Pelodiscus sinensis: one gene and its partners. Each later gene encodes a partner of the first gene's protein in a complex. Links are inferred from orthologs where the notes say so. Each region holds a gene or a part of one and is shown in the gene's direction. Other genes may lie near its edges.

Region 1 (9,348 bases):
GGGGAAATCTATACATTCTTCCCCTCCCTCCCTCCCAAATAGTAGAGAGTGTCCTATACAGGTTGAATTAACTGGCAACATTGTATGGAGATAAACGGGGTTTTAGTTAGGAGATGGTGTTAGCTTTAACCAAACACACAAAAAAGATCCATCAGGCAGGCTATGCATGGTGGATGGTTGCATTAACATGGCAGAATCTAACTGAAACGATCATATATGTAAAGTTGGTATGACACCTTTTACCCCATCTAAACGGATAGTGTGGGCCCTAGGCCTTTTGTAAGGTTCTGAGTACACAAATGACAGTTGACATATGGCAGGTTGGCAGGGAAAGGGCTTCATTAGCAAGTTAAACAATTACATTTTTTTACTTGTCCGCTGGGAGGTGGCAAGAGGAGAGCCTCTTGTGACAGATATGGCAATTCCCTGGAATAACTTCCTGAGATCTTAATGCGCACCCTCTGGCTATGCAAGAACTCAGCCTTTTGAAACTTTTCCCTTTGTCTCCTGACCACTTGCTATGTGAGGACAAGATCCAAGGCCCAGACTGTATTAAGAAAAGTATGAATAATATATAAGGGTTCTTGTTGTGATCGAACAGCTGCTATGAACAGGAAACCCCTTTGATGGGGTTTGAAGGACTAAGCACCTGCCACATTCCTCAGAGTTGGGAGTCGGGATGTTAAATATCAGTTAACTGAATAGTTGAGTTAATTCTTATCGGTTAGTGGACTATTCTATAGTCCCCAGGGGAGGGGCCAGCAGCAGTACAGGGTGCCAAGCGGGAGCTAGTGTGCAAGGAGAGCCAGTTTAAAAACCAGCTCCTCTTGTGGACCAGCTGTTTGTTGCCCTGTGCTGTTGCCTCTGATAAAGAGGCAGCCGTGTGGGGTGTCAGCAGCACTTGCCAGGGGGAAGAGGGGGTGTCTGAGCTCCCAGACCCGGCACAAACCGGAATTGAGCTGGGCTGCTGGCCAGACTGCTAAAAAATGTACTAGTGGTGGAGGGAGGGAAATGCATGTAGTCTATAGCATTAACCTATAAGCTTTTGCTCTCTCATGAACTTATTGTGCTTTTGTCTGATTTTTTCTTCTGACATGTTTACTGGAAACATTATAAAAATTGTATCCAAATGGGTCACCAAAACTATTTTTGGTAAATAAAAACTTCTAATAATTATCTCTTTAAAAAAGAGTCCCAACTCACAAATATATCAGAAATATAATCATGAAACATTTAAGATTTTGAACACCCTGAACCAGAAATAATCATGAATTTTTTCACAAAATTATTTTCATTTTTTGGCCCTGTTCCTTTCAGACCTCTAGAAAAGGGTGCCTAATGATTTGCTGTGATTTCTAGGAACTACCTTACCTTAATGCTGAGATGTAAGGCTCTTTCCTCTTCCTCAGATCATCAGACTAAGGAGATGCATGGAAAATAAGAACAATTTATTAATTTGGACTCTGCTCTAAGTTACAGCTGCAGCGATAAATAAGGGCAGAACTTAAATAAGTCTATAAGTATCATCAGTGTAATTTACAGCTCTTGCAGGAACCGGAGTGCAGAATGGATGGCAGAGGGCCATTGCAGGCAAAAGGCGAATTAAGTAGCCCAAAAGTTACTAGGGCACAATGCCAGCTTCACCAATGCAAGTTAAAGGTCTCAGGGCACTGGTCCAACACTCGATATTAAAGCTGAGTCATTGACTTGCCAAGGAAATGTCTGCACTTGGGAGGGGAGTATCTGTATTCTACGGCTACCACACCTCAAAAGAGCCTCTACTTTCAGCATTGTACAGGATATACACATAGGGATTTCTCTTTCAGACGACAGAGATGGAGGGACAGCCAATTTTTAGCGTGCCAGAGGGTGGAGAAAGCAGAAGAGGATTACTAATCTTTCTACATGTGTAAGTTTTTCCTGCAGGATGAGAGAGTGATGCCATCATGTCACTCTGCGTCCTGCAGTTCCTCCCTCCTCAGCCACCCAGCCTCCTCCCTCACTCCCATACTGGTGCTGAGGGTCCCAGCCTCTCTGATGCCGGAGAGGGCAGCAGCTAAGTGGCCTCCCTGGAGCTCCTGGGGACAGGGTGGCAGCCACGTGGCTTCCCCAGCCTCCCCGGAGCTCTGGGGTGGGAAGTCAGGGCTGCCTGCCCCCAGAGAGGAGGGTTGACGAGCGGAGCGAGCAGGGGACACTGCCCCCAGTGTCTATTATCTAGGTTTAAACCTGTGTTCTCCTAAGTTAGTCTGCACCTATTATTCTGCAAAAGTCATCATTAAATACTCTTTCATGCTCATATGGGTACAGGCAGACAAGCAACACAACACCTAAACACCTCCCAAGAAGAATGATCTTCCTTAATCATATTTACATACCTTCCTGGTGCCTCTCCCTTCCCCCCTGCCCCTGCCCTCCTTCTCCTTGGTGCCCACTCCCTCACCACCCTCTACCCCAGTTCTCCTCACTCCCCTCTGTGCCCTCACACGACTTGCTCCATCCCCTGCCTTCCTCAGGTCCATCGCGCCTTTAAATGCCTCTTCTCCCAGCACTCACTCCTCCTCTCCCTCCCTCTTGCCCCCACGGTCCCTCCCCTTTCCTCTCCCAGCATCACCCTGCCTCTCCCCTCCCTCCTTTTCCTCACTGTCTCCTCTTGGCCTGGCATTTCTCTTTCCTGCATCCTGCCCCTTGGTGCCTGCCCCTTTCTTTTCCTGGCGTACCCCCCCTTGCCTCAGCACAAGTCCCTTCCTCCATTCTCCTTAGTTCTCTCCCTGCCCCTTCCCTCAGCTTCTGCCTTCCAGTTTGTGGGGGTGGAGCCTGCTGACCAGCCCCAGAAGTCCCCGCAGCCCCAGATGCTCCCAGAGCCGGACCACTTGCCGGGACTGGAGCTGTGGCCGCCCACAGTGTTATTTTTAGTGCCGCAGTCCATTCCCCACGGGCAGCCCTGGCTCCGGCTGGAGTCCAGCGGCATCTGCGCGAGACCCAGCTGGAACATGGCTCGTGTGGCTGCCACTTGACTCCAACTGGAGCCAGGGCTGCCCACAGTGCTATTTTTAGTGCCGCAGTACAGTCTCTGTGGTCGGCCCTAGCTCCAGCTGGAGCCAAGTGGCAGCCCTACGAGGCACGTTCCATCTGGGGAAGTCTCACCAGAATACTCCTTGCATGACTGCTGCTTGACTCCAGCTGGAGCTGGGCCACCAACCATGATCTGGACTGCAGCACTAAAAATAGCTCCACAGGCGGCCCCTGCTCCTGTCATGGCACCTGCCGAGCCAAGCGCCCCTCACCCTGCAGCATCTCAGCCAGGCTCTGCACGGCTCCTGCCAGGCTCCAAGGCGGCCTGGAGGAGAAGGAGGTGGGGCTGCCGGACCAGGACTTTGCATAGCAGAGGCGGTCCTGTGGGGGGAGGGAGAGAGGAAAGGGCGGGCCACTGGAAACTGGCCCAGTAGCCCTACATGCCCTGCTGGGGGGAGGAGGCTGCTGCGCCAGTATCCCATCAAGTAGTGAAATGTCCAGCGGGGCTTTCTGGGACATTTCTCTACTTGATGGGGCACTGGGACAGATCATTTAAATTCAGGATAGTCCTGAAAAAAATGGGACATATGATCAGCATAAACATAGGTGTCAAGGAGTTTCACTCACAGCTTTGCCATTAACTTGAGATCCCCTACAAACCAGATAAAGTCATGGGTCAGAATTAGGCTTGAATAAATTCTTATAAAAATAGTTCCAACATGCATTTGCTTTACACTTTGTTAATTACATAGATTTACATTTTACATAGTTGTGCAAAATTATACATTTTAAGCATTTTCCCAGGGTTTATTCATTTAAGTTAGGCATCTAAAATAGCGCTTCTCAACAGTTAGTGACAGCTTTTGACAACATTAACCATGGCATGTCATCTTGCTTATTTCCACATTTCAACTTTATCAGCTATGATAGCCACACACACTGGTCCAGGTGTCATGAGGCTTATCCTAGATCTATGAAACATGAATGCATTTGTACAGCAGTGTCGCTGTAAGACAGGCATGTCCAAAGTCCAGCCCGCGGGCCAATTGCGGCCCGTGTTCCGGTTTAATACGGCCCCACAGGTAATTTGGCAATATCTATCTTTTATGGCCCCCAACGAATCCATATGTATTGAGATGAATACATTGTAAAATGTCAGTTGGTCTAAATCAGTTATAAATATATTTGGACACAACATGTATACTTGGTGTTACGTTCCTGTTCATATTTTTTGAACTTAAAAGTTGACAGACAACCTTTATTACCAATAATATGTAATGTACTTTACAATGTTCCTGACATATATTTCAGCTTCCTGGATTTTTTTTTCATCTGGCCTTCAGATATGAAAGGCAGAGTGATTTAACACCTGTTTAGATTTGTCATCCATGTGACGAAATGAAAAGTATGCCGTTTGCAATAAACTTTGCATAAAATAGTTAATTTGCATTTAATTTGAATGGCTCAAAGAATGTCAGGCAAAATGGTCGGCCCTCACGCATGTTCACTTCATCAAATCTGGCCCTCTTTGAAAAAAGTTTAGACACCCCTGCTGTAAGGTCTCCTGTGTAGCTGCACTGTCCACATCAGCACTTTTGCTGGTGAAACTTAATGTTGGTCCGAAGTGTGTTTTTTGCACCCTCCGGAACGACAGAAGTTTCACTGACACAAGTGAGATGGAGCCAGTCTGAATTCACAAATAGCTGCAAGCACAGACCGGGGCTATGAACACACAGCGAGCGCTGTGAGATCGGTGCGGACACACTCGGGCCTACCATGGCAGCGCACCTGTTTGAACTTGTACAAGTCGTTGCTCTTCTCACGGAAATCCAGGCTCGCGAGCTCCTGGTGCAGCCCGTCCAGGAAGCCCGGGCTGCGGATGAAGCGGGGAATCACGCAGTGACAGAAGGGCGCAGGATCCACCGCGACGGCCTCTGGAGACAGCAAGCGAGACACGGTGAGGCCAGGCCCCGCCTCGGGCTCCCCACGAGCTCGCCGCCGCCCTGGCCCGCGGGGGCCGAGAGGGGAGGCCAGGCCCGGGCGCCTCAGCGAGTGGGGGAGGGGCCCCGGGAATCGGTACCGTGGCTAAGCGGCTCCCTGCGGCCCCAGGCGGCCGCTGCCTTCTCCTTCAGGGCCGGCTCCCTGAGAGCCGCGGAGAACTCCCCGCGCACCTCCCGCTTGCCCCGCTTCTTGCCCGGCCCGCCCTGCGGGGCCTCCCTGGCCCGCGGGCCGCGACGGCTCGCGCTCATGGTCAAACAGCCTCTGCTCCGCCAGCGCGCGGGGACAGCCACCCCCGCGGGGCCTACAACTCCCAGCAGCGCTCGCGCAGCCCAGGGAGCCAATCGGAATGAGCCGAGAAGAGCGCGGCCCTGAAGCCAAGGGGAGCGAGGCTACAAGCCGCCAGTGGTGCGCGTGCGCCGTAGGGCGGGTGGCGGCGCGCTTGCTGTCCTCTATGGTCCAGGCGCTCTGTGCGCCAGTCTCTATGGTTACCCTTTCCGGCGCGCGCCCGGTCGGTTCCGGCGGAGCCATTGGCGGGGTGTGAGGCCTGGCGCGCGGGGATGTTAATGGTGGAATTGGCTCCCGCCGCCGAGCAGTGACCTAGCCCCTCCCGCCTGCCGCTGCGCCATCATGTCCGTGGTGCCGCCCAACCGCTCGCAGACCGGCTGGCCCCGCGGGGTGAACCAGTTCGGGAACAAGTACATCCAGCAGACCAAGCCGCTCACGCTGGAGCGCACCATCAACCTGTGAGTGCCCGCCCCTCCCCCCTCAACTCCCCGGCCCCCCCCTCAGCTCCCCAGCCCCCCTCCCTCAGCTCCCCGACCCCGGCCCGGCCCCCCCCTCCCTCAGCTCCCCAGCCCCTCCCCCAATCTCCCCACATCCACCTGCGAGCCCCGTCCCCCCCTTCCTGTGGAAGACCCTCACCGTGCCCCGGGCTTAGATCTCCCCCGGCTTCCGGGGAGGGAGCAACACCCTGAACTCTCGGAGCTGCTGGCTCTGGAGAGGGCCGTCTACAGCCCTTTCTCCCCATTGCTCCTGCCTGTGCCTTAGCCCCTCACCTCAGGCTGGAGGTGAGGGCCTGAGGGAAGGAGGCCCCTTCTGATCCCACTATCTGCTCACACTGGAGAGGACTGAATTCTGCCTAACTGGGATGGCTTTAATGGGAGCAGGCTCTTTACCTGGAGGAGACCTTCAGTTTGTGAGGAGAGGCATTAGGACCGTCAACGGGGGGTGTAAATATACCGCTGCTATCTAAGTGAGATTAAATAAGGGGGTTGCTGAGTTAGGAGAGTTGCACACCTGTTTTCCTGAGGGTTTATATTCCTTCCACCTCTGTGGTGTCTTGAGTTTGTGTATAGGATGTAAAAGTGTGTACCCAATATGTGCTCATTGTTCAGCGTGTACTGAGTTTACAGGACAAATATGTACCTTTTTTGGATGTTTGGAAGCTGTAGGATGCAACTTGATTTGTATTAAGTAACATGCAAGTGCTGGTATGCAATGATTGCCTTAGTGGGCCATTTATTGAAGCAGGCTTAGCTTTACAGTGGACATCACATTTAGTTTTTTCTTCTTTGATAAGTTTACAAAGTTGCAGTAATGGCAAACAAATGTAATACTCAGTACTCCACAATTAACCATTACACACTCAGAGCTTTTTTTTGGGGGGGAGGGGTAGCTGAGTTAGTCTGTACAGATAAACTAAAAAAACAACAAATAATAGTCTGGTAGCACTTTATAGACTAACACAACATGTAGATGGGATCATGAGCTTTCGTGGGCACCGCCCACTTCTTCAGATGACCAGAGTGTTGGATTTCTAGGACCAAAATGAATGGGCGGGGAGGGGGGGGGGAGAAGAAGTGAAAATTGGGAGGAGGAGGTAACAAGAAAAGGCAGTAGGTAAAAAATATATGAAAGGAAAGCTGAGTCTATAAGTACCTAAAGACTAGATAGTCAAAGGGGGCAGATAAGAACCATTAATTAGCAAATAATAAAGCTCATTTGCAAGTTCAATTCTCACACCTCTGGATTAAACAAAGATACTGGATGGTTAGGTCATTACCTACCTATCAAACAATGAGGGCAACAGTGGTTCTTTGTCTTTGAAGAATCTCATGATAACAAATTCTAGATATTTCATCAGTCTAAGTGTTTCCTGACTCTTTGTTGTTTGCTAAGTCCCTGCTCCTACCAGGTCCAGCAGCCCCAGGGTGTGGCTAGCCCAAGGCTCTGCTGCCAGAGAAGCCTCCTCTACCCCTCACACCTCCCTGCTGCCTTTGCCTCTTTTAAGATGGTTTCTCCCAGCACTGGCTCCTGTTTTCTCCATCCCCAAGGTGGAGGGTGGGGGGAAGTAAGAAGATGACTCAACTACTCTTTTACATCCCTACTTTGAAGCCCAAATGGATAAAACTAATTTTAAAAGTGAAAATGTTAATCTACAGGGATTTTTGTTGAGGGGAAACAGTCTGTTAGCAAGAAGCTGTAACTCTTTGAATTTGTGTTTATTAGTACAAGTCAAATTTTTTGGATCCAGATTAAGGAATATCACACATTTATAAAGTGGACAGCGCTTCTCTATGATAAATATAATCTTATTTTAGAGAAGGAATTATAATTTGAGATTTCTGAAATAATTTAAGTAGAAGAAGAAAATAGTGGTGAAATCATAAAGCCACAGATAAAGAGGAGAAAATACAAGAGACTGGTAATAAAGATAATAAAGACACCATTGATCAGGAAGCAAGAGACCTGTAATTGAGAGGATGTTCATTAAGATATTCTAAAACTAGAGATGCTTGTAGAATAGCAGCATGCATGAGAATTGGCTCTGATACTCTGTACTGGAAGATGGGGAGAAATTCCAAATTAGCACTGAATTTGGGAAGCTATCTCTAAGATTAAGGTTTTAGAAAAGAAACACCTAAAAAGATTTCAAGTGAAATGTTTATAATGACCTTAATAGTTATCAGATTCAAATGAGTTATTTAGAAATGCATATTAGTATCTTGCATCAAAGCATCTGCACAAATCAATAAAAATCAAGAACCGATCAACCAAATATAAGAGAACTTCCCCTGCTTATTAACAAACTCATTCCCTGCTACTACAATGATTATTCAAAAGTCTGTCAAACAGACTCTGAAAGCACAAGCTTAAGAACTCTCCTAACTCAGGCAGAGATCAAGTAGGAGGTCACAGATATAGGCTCTCTACTTGAGTGTCTTGCTGCTATTTGTGGAGAGCTTTAAGGCTTGGAATAGCTGAGTGTGAGCCAGTGGTTTACTCTTGCAATTGCAGAGGGACAGCCTTTCAGGTAAGTGGAGCCCAAATCATTTAATTAGAACTTTATAGATTATAACCAGTACCTTGAATTGCATCCAGAAGAGAATAGGGAGCATATGTGTGCACATCTTATAAATATTTTGAAATCAGTGATAGCTAATTTTATACTACGGTAGCTGACCCTCAGGATGTACTGTGCAGTTGTGCTCATGAGATCTGGGTTAGTCTTCATGATATAGTAACATGTGACTTATCTTCTAGGTATCCACTTACAAATTATACATTTGGTACAAAGGAGCCCCTTTATGAGAAAGATAGTTCAGTTGCAGCCCGGTTTCAGCGCATGAGGGAAGAATTTGACAAGATTGGAATGAGGCGGACTGTAGAGGGAGTTCTGATTGTACATGAGCATAGGCTGCCACATGTGCTACTACTGCAGCTAGGTACAACTTTCTTCAAACTGTAAGTGTATATCGTTGGAACTTGACATTATAGTAATGTTTAGTAGAATCACAGAGCATTACCAAATAACAGATTAGTTGAACAGCAAATATATAGGCTGCTCATCTGTACTAAGAAATCATGGATCGAAGGGTGTGTTCCAGCAGTTGCTGCTGTTTATATGGCAAACCATGCTGTATCATCCCCTGCAGAAAGTTGATGATAATCTATTGCTGCGTTGACGACTAGCCTTCATTATAGTAGACTTCATCAACATGTATATTGATGCTTTTAGAATTTGTCACCAGTAATTATTATTGTCTCTGAATGAAGGGACATGATGAAAATAAATCATGTATAAACACACTCAGCACCTTAAATCATTGACCTTAAATTTTAAAAATATAGTTGCTTATAAATGATAAGTTTCCTTTCTGTGCTTTTATTGTTATGGAAAGAGAAAGTAGATGAATTCTTGTAAATTTCACAATCTTCGGAATTAAAGGTGGGAATGACTGGTTGGGTTATCTGGACTTCCAAATCAGGATTATCCCCTCATGATAACTTATCTTCTTATTTTTGTGCACTTCTTCAAGTGTTGTTTTTTGGTTT
Region 2 (9,653 bases), on another chromosome or scaffold:
TGCTCTGGTTGGGGAGCACAGGGGGCAGATGAACCTGAATCTGCCCCAGCTGGGGACATACATCCCTCCTGTGGCTGTGCTCACTGCAGCTGCAGTAGCTACGGACAGGTGCTTCTCACCTGGCCCCAAGCTGCTGTGGTGTAAGGGGTTGGGGTAGTCTTCTTTCCCCTCAGAGCCAGCCCCGTCCTTGAGCAATGATTTAAACGAAGAAAAACAAAAATTAAGGGCTCAAGCAACACCAGGTAAATCTCCTAGTATCATGTAATAAGAAAATAAAACTATTAGATGAGCTACACAAACAATAAAAGTACTGGTTTGTTTTATTTGTTATGAATTATTATATCACTTAAAATTGGATTAAAATGTAAGCTGGAACAATTAGCCAAGTGCTCTCTAAGCAGAAAAAAGATCGTAAGTGAGAGTGTCCTCAGATTTTATCTTTTCCAGATTCTGCTTTGAAGGGAAACTTAAAAATAAGTCTTTATTTTATTCTTTCATAGAAAGAGGCTGATCTATTATTTTTTATATATTACTAAGATGAATTGATAGCAACTCCATAGGTCAACAAAGAATTCAAGACTTTTTTCTTTGCGTTGTACTGGCCATCTATATAGGTGTTATTATTAGTTTTCTGTTATATGATGAAATGTTACCATAGTTGCAAAGTGGAAAGGTGAGAATGAAAAAAATCATATCACATAAGTGATTAACCATTTTGAGTTTCCATTATAAGGAAATAAAGTTTTATACTTGTTGCCTTAAGGGCCTTGTATCTATTTAATTGCACATCCCAAACTTGAAATGAAATTAATGAAAGTTGCAATGTGCAAGGAATGGAGGATGGCTGTCCTCAAAAAATAAGATTTACATTGCAATCAAGGGCTTGTCTACACAGGAATGTCATACAGGTATAAGCTAAGTGCTAAGGTGTGAATTTAAACTGAGATAGTTATACCAATATAACTCCCCATGTTGATGCTTAGTGCATCTTACTTTGGAAGGTGTTTAAGATACCCCTCCCTCAATCACTCGAATAAGAGTGCCTTATGGAAGGGATAATGGTATAACTCAATGAATTTAAATATTCCAGTACAGTAAAAAAATCTTCATGGTGTCTACTAAAGAAAAAACAGACTACTACAGGAAATTAATAGATGAGCTTGAATAATGTGTAGAGTCTTTCACATTAAGTAAGTTTACAATATGAACTTTCAACATAACATTACTTATACAAGAATCAAAACAAGTATTACACATACCATATATCTATTATAAACGGTAAGCCTACTCTCTGAACAATTTTGAGAGGTTTACCAGATTACAAAGAGATAGGATGTCTCTGGAATATAAAAACACAGCACAAAGGGCACTGAGAGCCTTATTAAACCATCTTCCTTATGGCATAGGCCAAAGGAAGGGAGATCACTTTTCCTGATTCTTCAAAGACCCACTTTAGGGCTCTCCAATTTCTACAGAGGCACCTGTCAATCAGAAGCATGCAGATCCTCATAAGTATTTAGGTGCCTGTCTGTCTCTTTAGGAGCCTTCATCCACTGTTTAGGCACCACTAATATTTTCAAAATCCTTGTTTAGCTGCTGCCTAACCCCATATGCATCTCAGTCTCATAGGAGCCTAAGTTTCTGTCAGTTGGCATTTGCTAAGCAACCGAAGTTTTGACACCACCCCACAGCTAATGAGCAGCTCTGACGATTAGTTTACACTGAAGCCCAGGAGGCCCCTAGGCAGGATTCTCAAACTAGCCAGAGGATTGCGTATTTGCCAGCAAGACCTGATCCCACAGGCACTCTCTGGGGTAGCCTAAGACTTGATGCCTGTCAAGTCCCACAGCAGGAGGGCTGCAGTCTACCTTTAGGTGTCAGAGACAGCACAGCAGTCACATAAAAGGCTAAGTTGGGAGCACAGGGAAATGGGACAAATCATGAAAGAAATACTGAACAGCAGACTGAGAAAGGGATGGTTTTGGCTACTAGGGCAAGAACCACCTAATTGGCTGACTTGGCTTATGTGTCTAACTCCAGCAGAGGGTCTCTGGCTGAGGAGCCTGAGTGGAGGGAAGTGCCTATTTCTGGCCCATCAGCCACAAGTACCCAGGTAACCTGGCTAGGAGCATATATACGTCTCCTCTCTCCACCTCTTTTCTCAGAATTTCACCTCTGACTAGTTTAGGCTGTTCCCCAATGCCCCCCTCCCTTTAGCTTGGTGATTTCTCAGGCTTTCTTTCCTAGACACCTTGCTTTCCCCAATAGTTGAATGAGGAGCCTGAGTGCCCAATTTGGGGCTGAGGATTCCACTAGATAGCAAACTACCTCAGAGTTAAGCACTGCAATGGTGTGCAGAATTATCTGGGCCATGTTCCTAAAGAGAGCAGAATGGCATTCCCATTCACATTTATTTCCATGCTCTTCTAGTCAAATATCATTAAAATCAACACTTAAAATGCCAAAATGTATCTAAAACTCTGCTAAATGTAATCCCAGCATCTGTGATGATTTGCTTGTCAATTTATTAGCACAGGAACTGGTGTATTTTCTATAGTTCTGCACTCTCTCCAGTTTGGCCTGATGGAAAAAAAGGTTAAAAAGAGTTGAAGTGCTGCACCTATGTCTTTGTATGAAATATCAGGTATTAGATCTGCTTTTCATCAAACAAAAATAAATTACTTCACTGCATTTGAATCGTAATACTTCAGGAACTTCTTAAAATATAATGTCATGGCAAATCCTTCACTTTCCCCCTGCTACTTGGTCAAAATATATTTTAAGATGAGAAAATTTGACTGCAACACTTCTGAGTAATTTTATTCAATAATGTTTCCATCCTCTAAATTTACTTAGGATCCCATTGAGCATGTTTTTAGGTCTCTATTTGTCTTTATCTATCTGTAAACTCATATCAATCAATTTTTTTTCCAGGTAAAGTTGTGAGCTCTTGGATGGGGTAGACCTTCTGGAAGTTCCTGTAAACAGGAAACTCTGGTATAGTTTAGAATGTATTTGAAATATTTTAGCTGTTCCACTTAATATAAGAATTCTACAAGACAGATAGCAACTCTAGAAATGAGGCTCTAGCCAACAATGACTTTACAACTGCTTGAGGAATATTAACGAGTTTTCAGTAAGAGGTAAAAAGGGAAAAAAGGACTCCTTTTTTTGAATATGCAGCATAGTATACATTTGTATTTGCATAATATACATATGTTGCATATACAATGCATACCTAATGAGCCACCATTTCTTTCAGAAGAGGCTCTTGCGCAAGAAGGAGCGTCTACACTGCCCCTTCTTGTGCAAGAAAAACCCTCTTGCGCAATGCCATTACACCTATTACTTTTCAGGAAGAACGGCATTGCGCAAGAGGGTTTTTCTTGCGCAAGAAGGGGCAATGTGGACGCTCCTTCTTGCGCAAGAGCCTCTTCTGAAAAAAATGGTGGCTCATTAGGTATGCAAATGAGGGTCGGCAATATTCCACGCTTAGTCTCATTTGCATATTACTCGTGCAAGAAGCCGCAAGTGTAGATATAGCCTAAGGGTGGTATGGAGAAAGAGAATAGGGAAATGTTATTTAGCCCTTCACATAACTCAAGAACTAACGGTCACCTTATGAAATAAGCAGTAGAAACTCATTGCCAGGGAATGTTCTTCTTCAAGTGATTGCTCATGTCAATTCATAGAATGGACTGTAGGCCTTTCACTTTAGGAGAATGCAGGGTCCAGAATGCCTGGGAGTTAGCAGGGATCCTGGCACTGCAGCAGTGAGCAACCTATTCCCAGCCCATTCTGGTTCCTGTCCCTCCCCTCCGCCCCCCCCATCTGTTCCATTCCCTCTTGCAAACCTCCGCCTTGCCTCTTTCTGTCTTCTGTCTTCTTCCTTGAGTGTCGTAGAGTGGCAAGGGTCACTTTCAGCTGCTAGTGCCAGGCCCCCTGCAGGCCCATATGCAGAAATAACTGTGAGGTGTGCTTTTTTTGTAAATGTGGACCACAAAGGTGTGAACGCACTCCCTATTGTCCCACAAGTAAGCGTGGAAATCAGCCTCAGCCTTCCCCTGGCTGGCCAGAGTATGCTTACTTGGGGGACTGCACCCTTCACCCCCCTCCCTCATGTATGGGCCTGCCCTGGTAGCCTCCAAGGCTATGTCTACACTGGTGGGTTCTTGCACAAGAACATCTTGCGCAAGGGTTCTTGTGTAAGAAGTCTTGCACAAGAACACGTCCATACTGCCATGTGCGAGATGTGCTTTTGCACAAAAGCATCCATGGCAGTGTGAATACTCTCTTGCACAAGAAAGCTGATGGCCATTTTAGCCATAGGGCTTTCTTGCGCAAGGTATCCTTGCCGTGCGTCCACACTGCCCTCCTGCGCAAGAGCTCCTGTGCAAGAGGGCCTACACCTGTTAGAAAAGAGTGTAGCTCTTGTGCAAGAAGTGCTCTCGTACCACGCTGTACTTTAAATCTTCTTCCGCAAGAGCGGGCGGGCAGTGTGGATGGTCTGCGGATTCTTGTGCAAGAAAGGACATTAATAATTGCATTTTAACTTCCTTAGTATGGTGTGTGGGGGCAGTGTGCGAAGCCCCCTGGCTGCCCCTGCGCATCAGAGCCAGAGGGGAGACATGCTGTTACTCCCGAGAGCCATGTGGAGCCACAGCATGCAAAGAGCAGGGCAAGCCCTTGCCTCTGATCTCTGGCTAGAACTCAGGGCTGGTGCCCTAGTCTGCCCTATGGATGGAATGGCTCTGAAAAACATAGGCCCAAACACTGGTGGAACTGGCCCCTGGTCCTGAACGCTGATGAACCATGGATTCATATAAATCACCACTTATTTAGACAGTGCATGGTCCTGCCATGAGGGCAGGGGACTGGACTCGATGACCTCGAGATCCCTTCCAGCTCTATGATTGTGACGAGCTCGATCCATGCTGTGGAGCCGAGGCACCCCTCCAGCCCATGGGGTGCCAAGCTGGGGCCGGCGAGTGCTGCTGAATGGACACATCCTCCTTTAATGGGGCCCCAGTCGCACCCCCCAACGAGCGGGGGAGCCTGGCCAAAGAGCAACCCCGCTGCGGGGGGGGGGGGGACACCTACTCCCTGGCCTGCGGCGCTGAGAAGCTGCCAGCAGCGGGAGGGGCGGCAGCCTGTGTGAGACCCCCGCCCGGGGCGGGCTCAGGCGCACTGGGTGGGCTAGAGCAGCAGCCGGGGGAGAGGATTCGGCACCGAGCGGGTGCAGCAAACGGAAGTTCCCTTCTCCTCCAGGAAGTGACGTCGGCTTCCCCCTCCCCGGCGGCGGCGGCTCTAGTCCCGGGCGCGGCGGGCAGCGGAGGCCCGAGGAGCGGGCGGCATCATGGCGGACGGCGTGGACCACATAGACATCTACGCCGATGTGGGCGAGGAGTTCAGCCAGGTACGCGCGGGGGGGCGGGCGCGGGGCCGCGCGGGGGGGAGGAGGCGGCGCTGCCGCCGCCATTGTTGGGGCAGGCGCCCGGGCGCGGGTTTCCCGCGGAGCACTAGGCCGCTGGTGCAGGCCGCATGCGCGGGGCCCGGCAGCTGGGGGCCCGGCGGGCGGGGGTTGCGCCGCTCGCTCCGACGGGGGCAACACGACTCGGCCCGGAGAGCGGGAGCGGCCTGTGGCAGACCCGCAGCCCGGCGGCCCGATCCTCGTAGCGCTGCCCGCCTCTGCCTGGTGGGGGTGGCTGCGAGGGAGAGACTGTGACGCGCCGAGCAGCACCCGTCTCCGCATAACGCTGAGGTGCTGTAGCACACACCCAGCAACTCCCCCCCCATCTCCAGAGCCCCCTGAAGAGACAGTATTGCACAACCAGTATTTTGTCCCATTTCTGTATCTCCTGAGAGATTATACACAAAGCAACTCTTCCATATCCCTGAGGAGAGCGTGAAGTGACTAACACACTGGAGCAGGATGAACAATATACACCCTGCGGGCCAAGTCCAGCTTAACCAGTTAACTGGTTAAAGGCTGAGACCGGGTGGGGGGGAGGAGTGGTCCTCCCTCCTCTGCCACAGTCTAGGGCGGCACCAGCATCCTCTTGTTTTGTCATCCAGCAGCCACCAGTGGTATGTATCTCCCGACCAGGAACAAAGCCTGCACCTCGCATCCCTTTCTGCACCCCAATACCCTACCTCAGGTCAGAACCTGATCCTGGACCAAAGCTCCCTTCCAGACCCTGCAACTCCTCTTGCACCCCAACCCTTGCTCCAGCTCAAAATCCTGCATGCAAACTAGCGATGTCAGATATCAGGTAATTGAATAGTTGTGTAATTGCATAAAATCTTAATGATTACACAACTATTCGATAGTCCCCAGGGGTGGGGCTGGCAGCCAGTGTGCTCCCAGCCCCATTCCTGGGATGCCCCCTGCAACTCTGCACTACTGCTTCTGTATCAGAGGTGGCTGGGGGAGCTGGTCTGCAAGGAGAGCCAGCTTAAAAACCAGCCCCCCGCGCAGAACAGCTACCTGCCTCTCCATTACTTCTGATACAGAGGTAGCAGCACGGGTTGGAAGCAGCCCTTGTCCATAGGGGGTCCAAGCTCCTCACGGACAGAGACTGCTTTGTGGCTGCCTCTCCCCCCGCTGCCACTGATAGAGGCAACAGCGTGAGGGGGAAGGCAGCACTGTGCTGGGGTGAACTGCCTTTTAATCTGGCTCCCCCCAGGACCAGCTCCTGTCATCCCTCTCCCCCCACTCTTGCTGCCTCTAACAAAGAGGCAGCAATGAGGGTGGGTGGAAATGCATGTAGTCAACAAGATTAACTAATATGCCTAGGCTAATTGGTTAATCATATAGGTGACTACATGTTGACATCCGTAGCTTGTAATCAGCATGCACATCAATTCATATGCTGTTACTTTATGTGTATGTCACTTTAGTAATACTGCTACAGAACACACACAACCAACCCTCCCACCCCCGCCACCAATGGAAACCAGTGGAATCTGACAACCCTGTATGTGGGCAACAGGAAACAAAATGTCTAGCGGGCCACTTATAGAACTCCAGTGGGCTGTATGTGACCGTCATATTGCCCACCACTGCTGAAGAGTATAACACCCAGAGCATGGCCCTGTTTGAGAATAGAGGCTGTGACAGACGGCAAAACCCCGACCAACTCACAACCTGAGGAGACACACACCACTAACTCCCATCTGTGTATCCCCGGAGAACGATGGACACACAAAGAGCAACTCCAGAGAGACACTAACACACAGGAAAATATCTCGCATCTCTATATTGGAAATCACCTTATCCCTTGAAATTCTATAAAACACATGAATCCTACCAGCATCTAAGAGAGTTAGAGATCAGGGATGTGTAAAGATAACTGGCTGACTGATAAGCGTCACACTAAATGGGTAATGCTTACTTCCAGTTAACTATAGGGACTGGAGGATGGGCAGCGGGCTGCTCCATCCTTGTGGGGCCCACCACAGGCAGGGGCTGCTCTGGATGACTGGAGCAACCCCTGTCCATGGCGGGCCCAGCCCACTGCCACATGCTGACTCCCTGGACCCAGGTTACATGCTGATTCCCTGGACCAACCCCTGTGGCAGGGAAGCCTCTTCCCCAGGAGTGGCACCAGCAGCTCTTGCCAACTCTGCTCCCGGGGAAGTGGCTTTGCTTGGGGAGAAGGCTTTATTTAAAGTTTATACTGCAGAGCCTGCTGTGTGTGTAACTAAGATTTTTCAGACTTTAAAAAATTTCATCTTTTTTAACCGACTTTATATCCTTGTTAGCAGGGCTTGACAAACGGCGGTGAAAACTGCTTGCCAGCCCCGTACTGCGCATGTGCAAGAGCCGCATTGCGCATGCGCACGCCACGAATGAACAGGGCTCGTGGCTGAAATCTATTTGCCACGGGCAAGTAGATTGTATGGTTTGTCGAGCCCTGCCTAATTTAGATTCTGTAACACATGCATGAAAATCCTCAGTCTGCAGATAGAGAAAGAAACCAGGGAGCAAGCACAATTTCTTGCCCTGTGCAAGGTCATCTAGTAGGAGAAATTAATATGTGGCAAATTTATCATCCAGAGGGAAGAGAACTGTAAAAATATGCGCTGCATTTTCTTGCAGAATGCAAAAATGAATAACTAAATACTAAGAGAGAAACCAATGGGTCTCCTGAAGGTGAGAGTTGATCCAGTCTTGAGACACTTGGGGCATATACTTTAACAACTGCTTTTGCCTGTTTATGGAGACACATCTCCTTTTTTCCTGTATTGCATACAGCCAACTGGCTTTCATCTGTTTACTTTTATAGTTCTTGCTTTTCCTCATTTTTCATTCATCTCAAAAAGCCTATGTATGTGCCCTTACCAAATTCATGTCATGTTCTTAATCCAGTTTTCTGTAACTTAGCTGTATTTATATCAAATGGGCTCTGACAAATTTCCTGTCACCATACCCCAGATTGTTGGTTTTTTTCCTGACCTAGAGCATGAGAAATTAAATAAAGCAGCCATCTCCCAAACACTTCCAGATCTGCAGAGCTACTAATGCCCTGCAGTAGGTCCTTGAATACATCTTTCAGCAGGGGGAGGTTGATGTGTGCCAGAGAGGGGAAACAAAATAGGTGGAGAGGAAATAGGTGATTGTGTTTGTAAAAAAATAGATGTTATTTGAGTGGTAGATAGAAAAGGAACGGAAGAATGCTTATCAGAGAATATTTAGATAACATTAGACATATGCTTTAATCATTTAGTCATTTTGGTGACATTATATAATACATGGGAGTGATATACCATGAAGTAAGCAGGTGGAGAAGACTGGTTTGTTCTCTTATGCCTTGTCTATATGGGAAAGTTGCCCAGGGATAACATAAGGCGTGAATTTAAACTGATACAGTGAAACCAGTGCAAACTTCTGTAGAAACACTCCTATTTCAGCATGAATGCTTTCTTCAGTATAGTTAAGTTGATTGGGAATTGATTTAAATTAAGCTGAAATACTTTCATGCTGAAAAAAGAGTCCACAGAGGGTTTGTACTTATGTAACTGTGTGGACAAGCCTTTAAAGTCTGGTTACAAATATGATGCAGATGCCTACTGTGTTCACTTCTCTTTGGAAGCCATCTCTGCAAGAATGACTTCAAGAAGGGAGATGATTGAGAATATTTTGCCTCTTGCAATATCAATGTGATCCAGGTCTACTTAGTACTTGGCATTCACTATAATGATTTTGGTTGTCAGGACAGTGGCACCAAAAATACTTTGTATAAGCTGCTTGTTTGGATACCAGTTTGCCATCACTTTTCTTAGAAAGTTTGCCAGTGTAGTCATCTGGGTCTCAGCAAACCTTCTTAGTGAAGACACAGCTTATACCAGCAAGAGTTCTTTTGCTGAAACCATTTCGGTCAGTTCCTTGAACAAAATAATCTGTAACAGCAAAAGGACTTTATTGGTGCAACTGCTTCTACAGTAGCCTTTTGCCAGCATATGTATGTTGATTGGAGTGTAGATCTCCCCACCCCCAATGTAGCTATGATAACAAAACTTTTAAGGGTAGTAGACTAGGCATTAGTTTTGACTGTCATCTTTCTTTCTTTGACACATTTTTTCTTCCTTGCTGCAAAATGCTATTTTCCATAGTAGATTTACCCAAGTGATGCATTTCAGAACCTCGCTAG
Region 3 (10,068 bases), on another chromosome or scaffold:
CAAAATAGCTTATTTATTTCATCATTTGCTGCTGCCTACCCAGTGCCAAATTTTGAAATCAAGTGCTATTTCAAGCCATCCCTTACTCCTCGTAGGATGAGGTTTACAGGGATAGCGAAATAGTGCATCCACTATATTTCGAAATAGCTACCCGTCTTTTGAACGCGTCCGCTATTTTGGGATTCCTCTGGTATCCTGAAATAACTTTGCTGTGTAGATATACCCATACAGTCCCTGAAACCATGATTCAACAGGGCCTTACTGATAACACAGGAGACACAATAGCCAGGCTATCCTGGGACAGCAGTTCAAGTAGCTGAGATCTACTGGTTACAAGGTGTTGGCTCCTCCTCCTTTCCAGCTGATACACAGCAAGTTAAACTCATCAAACCCCTCCTAGGCTCTTTCCCACACCAGCCATTACCTTAAGGACACAATCTGAGCACCAGCGGGGGGGAAGAGGCCAAGAAACTCTCTCTCTATGGGACAGGAAATGCCCATTTTGTTCTGTCCTTGCACAACAGGACCTGGCACAGAACTGCGACCCTTAGACACTTCTGCCCCACCCACCCAAAATCACCTACACTCTTGGAAAGTGCTCAGTTAAGCAAACCGTTTTCAGCCTATGGGATCGGTTGCATATTTTGGTCGCTAACCTCACACAGGATTGAGGTGGGATCTGTTGCTACTGTCATGGCATGGCACTGCTGCTCCCCTCCTGGAGTCTGGAGAAGAGGGAGCAGTGGATACTCTTTCGGCCGGGTGGGTCTGTTTTCTCTCTTTACACTGATTTTCCCCATTGGAGGGTCCTGGACACAAGGATTTACAAGGAATGGTTAACGGAGAGGCTGCAGCCATCAGAGAGGCCACACAGGTGAACAAGAGGAATTTCACAATGAGACAAAGCACATTGTCATGATGTGATCATCTTCTATTTCTCTTGCACCAAGATGCGAGAGAAGCTATATACATAAAATGCCACTGTCTGGGGTGAACTGCTGCACCTGCACAACAATGGGACAAATCCACATATACATTCCCACTGTCAGGGACAGTGTTTGCAACTTTAATTGGTGGGGGTTGGAAATCGGGGGAGAAGCAGGCACCCGGCGGAGGATTCCAGGAGCCAGGGCAGCAGCACTGCAGTTTGCCAAATAGGTCGAGACACCTCAGCCTCTGCTGCCAGGGGTGAGAAGAGGATCCCAGAGCTGACTGGAGGTGCCTCAGTGTTGGGGCTCAAAGAGATACTCCAGGTCCGGCTGCCGCAGTCTCTGCTCCTTGTTCTTGTTCTTGGTGAACTCTCTCAGCATCACCATGACATCATTCTCAAACACCTCCGGAGTGGGCTTAGCTTCTTTAGGGAGAAAAGACACAGGATGAGATGCAGCACCCCCACCCCCACTTTTCAGTCATCAGCTTTGCATCTTTATGCTTGGTGCAGCCTATCAGGAGTCACAGTGAAGCCAGTCTCATACCCTTCTAACACTGCAGTGCCTCTTTCAAGCCTGCTTCACCAAACACCATGGGATCTCAGGTCAGAGCAGCTAACCACTTCTCCTAGCGACACCCATCTCAGATGGCAGCCACTTACTGCAGGGTTTTACTTCTCCTGTTGTACTGGGGAATTCCTTCCTGCCCCCATCTTATGATCATCTTGTACTTTAAAGCATGAAGATTGGAAGCCATGGGCATTTTCTGAGCAAGAATCACTGTGGCTGCCATTTTGATCCACGCTGGGTGTGGAGTTTAGATCAACTGAGATACATTCATCACCCCAGAAAGCTTCCTGCTCCATCCCATCATAGGAGTCACGGCCCAGCTATACCACCACCTAGCTCTTGTAGATTACAAAGGTTAATATCCTCATCCCTATTTTATAGATTGGGAACATGAGGTACAGGGAGAGGAAAAGACTTGTCCAAGGTCACCTAGCAGAATTGTGGCAGACTTTGGAACAGAGCCCCAGTCCACTGCTCTATCTTCTAGGCCAGGGGTGAGCCAAGCTGCTGTACCTGGCCCCCAGCTGCCTCGCCAGCACCCTTACTACAGAACAGGAGCAGCTGCTTTAAAGAGCAGGCAGCTAATTGCTCTACAAGCTGTGCAGGGAGGAGGAAGCTTCCAACACTGTCCCCGCCCCTAACAAAATCCCCCAGCTCCCATTGGCCAGTTTTTGGCTAATAGGAGCCAAAAAATTTTGCTGAAAACTGGGCAGCTGTCCTTACTCCCCCTCCCAGGCTGGTGCAGACACACGTAGAGCAGCTCACGCAGCACACAGGTAGGGAGTCTGCAGGGCTGCTGGCTGGGAGACGCCTAGGTAAGCGCCCCCCAGCCAGTGGCTGCCTCTGGCACCCCTCACTTCCCACAACTACGTGCCCCAGGCCATCACCTAAACCCCCTGTATCCCCTTTCCCCACCTCCTTCAGGTCACAACTCTCTCCCAGTCCCTGCACACACACTCCCCTTCCACTCCTCCCCCAGGCCAGAATCCTCTGCTGCACCCTAAACCTCTGCCCCAGATTATAATCCCTTCCTTCACCCAAACTCCCTCTCAGACCCCACACTCCCTCCTGCAATCTAGTCCTCTATCCCAAGCTCCCTTCTATTCTCCACCTGCTGTCCCAGACACCGTGCCCCGTTCACAGAAGTGCAGTCCTTGACTACTTTCCAAAATCTCAAAGTGGCGCACCCCTCCCCCCTCATTAAAATGTATTGCCCGCCTCTGCTCTAGGCCATGCTGCCTCCTGTGAAGCGTGCCCTGTTGCAAGACAGTACCTGTTGCCCAGTAGTAAATGTCCCAGTCATTGGTGGGCTCGTTGATAAGGCGATCATAGAGGTTCAACTGCTGTTCAGTCATGCTGTTCAGATTCTCCTTTGCAAAGAGGCTAAATGAGGCAAGAGAGAAGACACAAAGCATTAGAAACATAGGAAGTGCCATGCTCACAGCCTGGGTCTGTCCAGCACAGCATCCTGTACTAAACTGGCCAGGGCCAGGAGCAGGCAGATAATCTACCCTTAAGCCAATCTCTAGTTATTAAAGTTCTGTTTGACCCTGTAGCTGAAAAGTTTAATAGTCCTGCCAACATCTATTATAAATAACAACTCTGGACATTCTAATTGCGCATGGAAATGTCCAGATGCTTTGGAAACTTACCATGTTCCTGGCCTCACCAACTTCTCATGGTAGGGAGTTCCACAGGCTAAATAGGCAATGTGTGAAAAAAGGATTCCCTTTTATCAGCTCTGAACTTCCCATCATTCCATGTAATTGACTGTCCCCCTTTGTTTGTTAGGAGACAGAGAGAACAGAAGCTCCCAACCAGGACTTTGTCAAGCTGGGACTTAAACACCTCTAGGGATGGAGACTCCACTGCTTCCCTAGGTAACCCATTCCAGTGCTTCACCACCCTTCTAGTGAAATAGTTTTTCCTAATATCCAACCTGGACCTTTCCCACCACAACTTGAGACCATTGCTCCTTGTTCCGCCATCTGTCACTACTGAGAACAGCCTTTCTCCAGTCTTTTTGGAACCTCCCTTCAGGAAGTTGAAGGCTGCTATCAAATCCCCCCTCACTCTTCTCTTCTGCAGACTAAACAAACCCAACTCCCTCAGCCTCTCCTTGTAGGTCATATGCTCCAGCCCCCTAATCATTTTGGTTGCCCTCCACTGGACCCTCTCCAATGCATCCACAATCCTTCCTGTAATTGAGGGCCCAGAACTGGATACAGTACTCCAGATGTGGCCTCACCAGAGCCGAATAAAGGGGAATAATGACATCTCTGGATCTGCTGGCAATGCTCCTCTTAATGCAATCTAATATGCCATTAGCCTTCTTGGCTACAAGGGCACACTCTTGACTCATATCCAGCTTCTCATCCACTGTTTGTCGACCCCCTCAAAGAACTCTAGCTTACCGGTCTGTAATTGCCAAGATCATCTCTAGAGCCCTTTTTAAATATTGGCATCACGTTAGCTATCTTCCAGTCATTAGATACAGACGCTGATTTAAAGGATAGGTTACAAATCACAGTTAATAGTTCCACAATTTCACATTTGAGTTCTTTCAGAACTCTTGGGTGAATGCCATCTGGTCCCAGTGACTTGTTACTGTTAAGTTCATCAATTTGTTCCAAAACCTCCTCTAATGACTCCTCAGTCTGGGACAATTCCTCAGATTTGTCACCTGAAAAGAATGGCTCAGGTTTGGGAATCTTTCCAATATCCTCAGCTGTGAAGACTGAAGCCATTTAGCTTCTCCGCTATGACTTTATCATCTTTGAGCGCTCCTTCAGCATCTCGATCATCCAAGAGCCCCACTGGTTGTTTAGCAGGCTTCCTGCTTCTGATGTACTTAAACATTTTGCTATTACGTTTTGAGTTTTTGGCTTGCTGTTCTTCAAATTCCTTTTTGGCTTTTCTTATTATGTTTTTACACTTAATTTGACAAAGTTTATGCTCCTTTCTATTTTCCTCACTAGGATCTGACTTCTACTTTATAAAAAATGTCTTATCTGTCACTGCTTCTTTTACTTGGTTGTTAAGCAAGGTGGCACTTTTTTTGGTTCTCCTACTGTGTTTTTTAAAACAGCTGAGGCTGCACTACTGATTTATGGGATGGCACCGGAGTATTTTATCAGCACTGAATTTCACTTGCCACTATGCTGCCCATTCCCTTAACAGGGCTTGGTCTTGCAAAGGTGCCACACAGCCCCCTGCAGCTTGACTAATGTTAGTAACTTCATGTCATCTGTACATTGTGACTCACACCTCACTGCCATCTCCAGATCACTAAGAACAGCTACACTGGATCAGTATCCTGTACTCCAACAGCAGCCAGTGCCAGGTGCCCCAGAGGGAATAAATCATTAAGTGATCCCTCCCCTGTCACCTATTCCCAGGCTCTGGCAAACAGAGGCTAGAGACACCATTCCTGCCAGTCCTGGCTAATATTCCTCATGAATTTATTTAGCTCTTTTTTGAAGTGTCACCGAACCTAAAGGCAACCTTGGTTCCCCACTGTGGGGAATGGAGCAGCCCAGTAGAGGCAAGCAAAGCCGGGAGAGCTGCTGGGGAGGAGGAGACTCTCATGCCCCTCTTCCCTCAAGTAGGTGTAAGGCCGGCTGACTGAACCAAACCTGGGTCTTCTGGAGCTTAGTACACAAGCGACCACAGCTTGAGCTAAAAGCCAGCTGGCTCTCAGGTGAAGCTGTAGAACAGGGGCGGGGAACCTTTTTGGGGTCAGGGGCTGCTGACCTACAGAAAGTCAGTTGGGTGCTGCATAGAAGTGAAAAGCCAAACCAAAAAAAAACCAAGCCCGGAACCCTCACTGACGTGGCCCCCGACTGAGAAGGAGAAAGACCCTCCCCGCATCAGAGCCTAGTAGGACCCAGGCTTGCAGACTGTGTGTGCTGCAGCTCCCCAGTGCTAGGAGGGGAGCCCTGAGCCTGGGGGGCCGGATCCAGGCCCACGAGCCTGAGGTTTCTCCTGCTGCGTGTACAGCAGACCCACGCCCCGCCTGCGGGGGTCTGTGCGGGGGACGCGGCGGGAGCCCCGGGGGCGCTTACCTGAGCAGCAGGCAGTTCTCCAGCATGCCCCGCTTGCGGCTCTCGTAGAGGAGCCGGGCCCGCTTGCGCGGCAGGGGCTCGCCGGGGCGCGGCTGCCAGGGCGGCAGGGGGAGCGCCCGCAGGTCGGCGCGCGAGTCGGCCGGGGAGTCCCCGCGGTAGCCGCGCCGGGCGGGGAGCAGCCGCCGGGACAGAGCCAGGAGCTGCCGAGAGAGGGGGGCGCGTCACGGGCCGGGCCTCGCTTCGCCTCCTCCCCCAGCCCCGCCACCGCCCGCCCCGCTTACCCGAGTCCCTGCCGCCGCCATCTCCGCTGCCTGCGCCCGGCCGCGCTACCTCGGCCTCTCTATGGTCCCTCCCTCCGGTCCCGGCGGGGCGGGCCGGAAGGGGCGTGGCCTGGCGGCGGAAGGGGCGTGGTCTAGCGGCGCAGGCTGTGGCGGTGAGCGGTTCGCGCGCTTCGGGCCTGCTCGGAACGCTGCCCCCCCTCCCCGCGCGGTAACGGCCTGGCCGAGGGGGGGAGGGGTTCCTGGGGGCTCGATGCAGCGGGGATCGGGCCCGCAGAGGAGGGGGGGCGGCGGCGGCAGGACCCCCCCCCCCGCCAGGCCTGGAGGAGCCGGGCCTGGCCCCTGCTCGTTGTGGGGGGAGGGGCAGGACGGGGGGGGCCCAGGCGGGGGGAGGGGGCGAGTGAGGCGTTCCGGCGGAGGGCTGGGGGGGGGTCAATCGAGGCCGGGCGCACATGGCCGGCCCGTGTGACTGAGCCGCTTCTCCCCGCAGTGCACCTCCTGCCTCCCTCCCTGCGCCCCCGGGCTCCCGCCGCTGCCAAGATGTCCGAGGGGGTGGATCTGATCGATATCTACGCCGACGAAGAGTTCAACCAGGTGAGCGGCGGGGAGAGCCCCACCCGGGGGGGGGGGGGGGCTGGGAGCCGAGGGGGGGGGGAGCTGTTTGTAAAAGCCCCCCCCCCCTGTGAAGGATACTCCGCTCCCGAGAGGGCGAGGCTGGGAAGAGGGCAGCAAGGGGGCACCGATGGGCTTGTACGTCTCCGGTGGCCAAGGCACGTGATGGGGTGTGTGCGCCAGCCCAGGAGCATTGAGGTGCTGAAGGGTGGTGCTACAATTCCCCACAGTCCCTGTGAAGCCTGGAAGGAGCGGGTGAGGTGGCCAAGTTGTGATCTAGGTCCCTGGATGGAATCTGTAGGGGACACTTTTTTGCAGCTGGAGTTCGTGCTCGGTTGGTTTGCAGTCTGTGGGCAATAGGGAGAAAGAAGCGGGCAGCTGCCTGTTGGGCTGAAGCATTCCTTAAGCCAGGGACATCCGTGGAGTTGGCGAAGAGGGAAGTGGTGGATACAACAGATTGAGAACCTAACCATCTTCTTTTACAAAACTTGAGGGTAGGAGGCAGGAAATGAAACCACAAAAGAGCTGTGTGGGGCATCCACTAGAGGTTTTCTGGGACTGTAGGCGCATGCACACAAAAGCGTATCCTGGATTTGCAGTGAGAAAATGATTGAGAGTATAACAGCGAAGCTAGGGAGCGGTACATTGAATTAAATGTAATAAAGAGCATGAATGCAGTGGCCCAAATCTGTTAGGTTTTAGAGAAGCAAATATTGGAGAGTTAAGAAATCTGGACAGGTGGGTATAATGGAAGCAAGTTCAGCTCCTTGAAGATGAAAATGCTAAGGAAGTGATATGTCTGAGATCATGGAAGAAGCTTAGATATTCTTAGACAGAAAACGGCAATCAGTCTTGATTATTTTCCAGGAACAAAATGCTAAGAACAAGAGACTGCCAGTGTGGTCTCACAAAGGGTTGAACAAAAATTTGAAGGCAGTAAACCTCTGTTCTGAAAAGATGGGAAGTTACAAAATAAGATTATGCCAGAAGTTAAACCTTTAGTTAAAAGTTAACAGTGCTGAATAGAGTTTTAGTTGTGTCATGGATGTTAAGAGAAACGTGAGAAGCTTTTGTAGCTATCCTGGGAGAAATAGTAGTGTTAGACTGGAAGCAGGCGCATTAAATGAGTATGAAATTGAGGCTAGTTTTAAATGGCTGAGGTCTTAAACTTTCTCCCATCTTACCATAATGCTATGCAGTTTTTTAAAGGTATTTTTGTTCTATGTGACCTTCAATAGCCAAGCTTTATCTTGCACTGAAAGCAGTTTTAACTTTAAAAGAAATATTTCCTGTTGTTTGGAAGCCTCTTGGAACTTTCTGATAGACTGAAAGCATCCTAGAGTATAGCATGGTTATCCAAGGTGTACTGGATGGATGATGATATAATGATGGACAAGAATTACTTTAAGGGATGTGGCCATTGAAAAAGTTCAGCATAGAAATATATTTAATTCAGTTTTCTTGCAGTTAACCTCTAACAAGTAATATCAGGTAGCTTTGGACTAGGGTTGTGAACATATAACAGTGTAAATGGTTAACTGATAAGCCTAGGCTTACACGTTAACATTGGCGATTACACACAGGTCCCACCCTAGTCCTGGGGAACTGACTGTCATCCTCCACTGCTGCCTTGGATACAGCCGGCTCCTGGTGCACACTGGCTCCCAGGGAGCCGCTGTGAGTGCATGTAACTGCTACGTCAGGGCTACTCAACTTTGGAAGCCCCCTGGGGCGACGATATTCACAGCACAAGCTGAAGGCCAACACTTAAATGCAAATATATATGCAAATAGCTTCCTTTACCCTGACGGGTATGAATACAAAGGTTAAGGCAAGACTACACAACACGCAGGCCCCGTTTAAGTCAGTTCTGCTGATGTTAATAAAATGCAATATTTACCCGATTTCCACCCATATGACAGCACTTCTAATGAGCAATGACAGTCCAAGAATTTAACTACTAAAACGCATATCAACAGAAGATCGTTATATTGACTTGCCATTGTGGAGTGTGTTCCCAGTGGAGGCCATCTTCAAAGGATCCCACCCGTGGGGCACATGTTGAGCCCTGTGTGAACCCAAACCACACCGTGGGGCACCAACAAATGGTCTGCGGGCCACGTAGCCCTGTACTACGTTTTTCAGCAGTTACAGATTTACGCAGTTACCCACATAACATCCCTACTTTGGACAGTTGAGCAGAATGAGAACCTAGTAGTTACTCATGAAGAGTAGGTATGAGAGAATTTGGAAAATACAAACATAGGGGGTACGTCTACACTGGCCCCTTTTCCGAAAGGGGCATGCTAATTTTACAGGTCGTAATAGGGAAATCCGCGGGGGATTTAAATATCCCCCGCGGCATTTAAATAAAAATGTCCGCCGCTTTTTTCCGGCTTTTAGAAAAGCCGGAAAAGAGCGTCTACACTGGCCCCGATCCTCCGGAAAAAAGCCCTTTTCCGGAGGATCTCTTATTCCTACTTCAAAGGATTCCTACTTCAAAGTAGGAATAAGAGATCCTCCGGAAAAGGGCTTTTTTCCGGAGGATCGGGGCCAGTGTAGACGCTCTTTTCCGGCTTTTCTAAAAGCCGGAAAAAAGCGGCGGACATTTTTATTTAAATGCCGCGGGGGATATTTAAATCCCCCGCGGATTTCCCTATTACGACCTGTAAAATTAGCATGCCCCTTTCGGAAAAGGGGCCAATGTGGACGTAGCCAGGTAGATTAGTCCATCTGAATTACATGCATTCTAGTGTAATGGAAAATGACTAACAAATATATCGAGTCATTTCTGATTATTTTGAAAATTCCTGGAGAAAGAGATTGGAGAAAAATAAATGTGCTGCTGATTTTCAGAAAAGGGGAAAAGTGTTACCCTGGCAATTATTGTTTAGAAGATCTGTCAGTTCCTAATTAAAATAATATTCCATAAACCTCTCGAAGACTAGCAGAGATATGAGCAACGTAAGCATCATGGAATTATAAAGAAAAAAATCAAGCTCCTCATTTGATGCTTTTCTGTTTTGATTTTAAAGCACTTATTGTGCAACAGTAACTATCCAGATTGGTTTGGCTGTGAGTATTTTCATATGTCTTCAGAAGTGTCTGGAAAAGCACTGCCGAAGAATGGAAATAAAAGGCAATGAATTGAATTGGGAGGAAGATGTTTATTGGATGCAGAAAAAAAATCTGTGTTGGACATGTTCTTATACTGTTATTCAACAGTTTCAGTGATTGAAAGTAAACAGCATGATGAAAACATTCACAGATAAAACAATCTCCAACACACATGAACAGATGTAGTTTTTAAGTCCAGAAGTGAACATTGTGATCCATTAATCTAACTTTCTGCATAATAAAGGTTATAAAATGTTATTTTCAATGGGGATAAAAAACCTGGAAAGCAGCAATGCTAAGAGAGATGCTGTGGTGTGATTGTGGATAGTTTGCAGTAGGGACGTAAGAGTAACCGTTTAAACAGGTAACCGATAAGCTTGGTTACACAAATGGTTACACGCTGGCTCCAGGGGAGCCGACTGTCACCCTGTAGCGCGGAGCAGCGAGCAGGATCTGGTATGTCCAGCTTAATAGATGGCTCCTAATGCGCATTGGTTC

The links.
Region 2: the proteins of NUDT21 (region 1) and CPSF6 are in contact, whole or in part, in a crystal structure (PDB 3P5T), measured with the Homo sapiens proteins. The link is inferred for Pelodiscus sinensis from reciprocal best matches to the Homo sapiens genes NUDT21 and CPSF6. Residues at the interface, in NP_008937.1 of Homo sapiens: Pro151, Asn152, Glu154, Pro156, Tyr158, Tyr160, Pro162, Ala163, His164, Ile165, Thr166, Lys167; in NP_008938.2 of Homo sapiens: Trp90, Trp91, Thr92, Thr93, Asp94, Glu95, Lys113, Phe114, Glu116, Asn117, Arg118, Ala119, Asn120, Gly121, Gln122, Ser123.
Region 3: the proteins of NUDT21 (region 1) and CPSF7 are in contact, whole or in part, in a crystal structure (PDB 3N9U), measured with the Homo sapiens proteins. The link is inferred for Pelodiscus sinensis from reciprocal best matches to the Homo sapiens genes NUDT21 and CPSF7. Residues at the interface, in NP_008937.1 of Homo sapiens: Arg68, Asn152, Glu154, Pro156, Tyr158, Tyr160, Pro162, Ala163, His164, Ile165, Thr166, Lys167; in NP_001129512.1 of Homo sapiens: Trp91, Trp92, Thr93, Thr94, Asp95, Gln96, Glu112, Lys114, Phe115, Glu117, Asn118, Arg119, Ala120, Asn121, Gly122, Gln123, Ser124.

Annotation. Positions count from the first base shown.
Region 1 is NC_134722.1:44,117,141-44,126,488, forward strand, and holds the start of NUDT21 (cleavage and polyadenylation specificity factor subunit 5), read left to right. Parts: upstream 1-5,484; 5' UTR 5,485-5,640; coding exon 5,641-5,756; intron 5,757-8,556; coding exon 8,557-8,757; intron 8,758-9,348. Other genes in the region: prolyl 3-hydroxylase OGFOD1, read right to left, coding at 1,372-1,418, 4,801-4,946, 5,093-5,261. UniProt on the Homo sapiens protein: Component of the cleavage factor Im (CFIm) complex that functions as an activator of the pre-mRNA 3'-end cleavage and polyadenylation processing required for the maturation of pre-mRNA into functional mRNAs.
Region 2 is NC_134711.1:63,706,071-63,715,723, forward strand, and holds the start of CPSF6 (cleavage and polyadenylation specificity factor subunit 6), read left to right. Parts: upstream 1-5,259; 5' UTR 5,260-5,356; coding exon 5,357-5,416; intron 5,417-9,653. UniProt on the Homo sapiens protein: Component of the cleavage factor Im (CFIm) complex that functions as an activator of the pre-mRNA 3'-end cleavage and polyadenylation processing required for the maturation of pre-mRNA into functional mRNAs.
Region 3 is NC_134714.1:125,563,617-125,573,684, reverse strand, and holds the start of CPSF7 (cleavage and polyadenylation specificity factor subunit 7), read left to right. Parts: upstream 1-5,871; 5' UTR 5,872-5,905; coding exon 5,906-5,996; exon of another isoform or gene 5,997-6,052; intron 6,053-6,331; coding exon 6,332-6,435; intron 6,436-10,068. Other genes in the region: SDHAF2 (succinate dehydrogenase assembly factor 2, mitochondrial), read right to left, coding at 1,224-1,354, 2,773-2,882, 5,564-5,763, 5,845-5,865.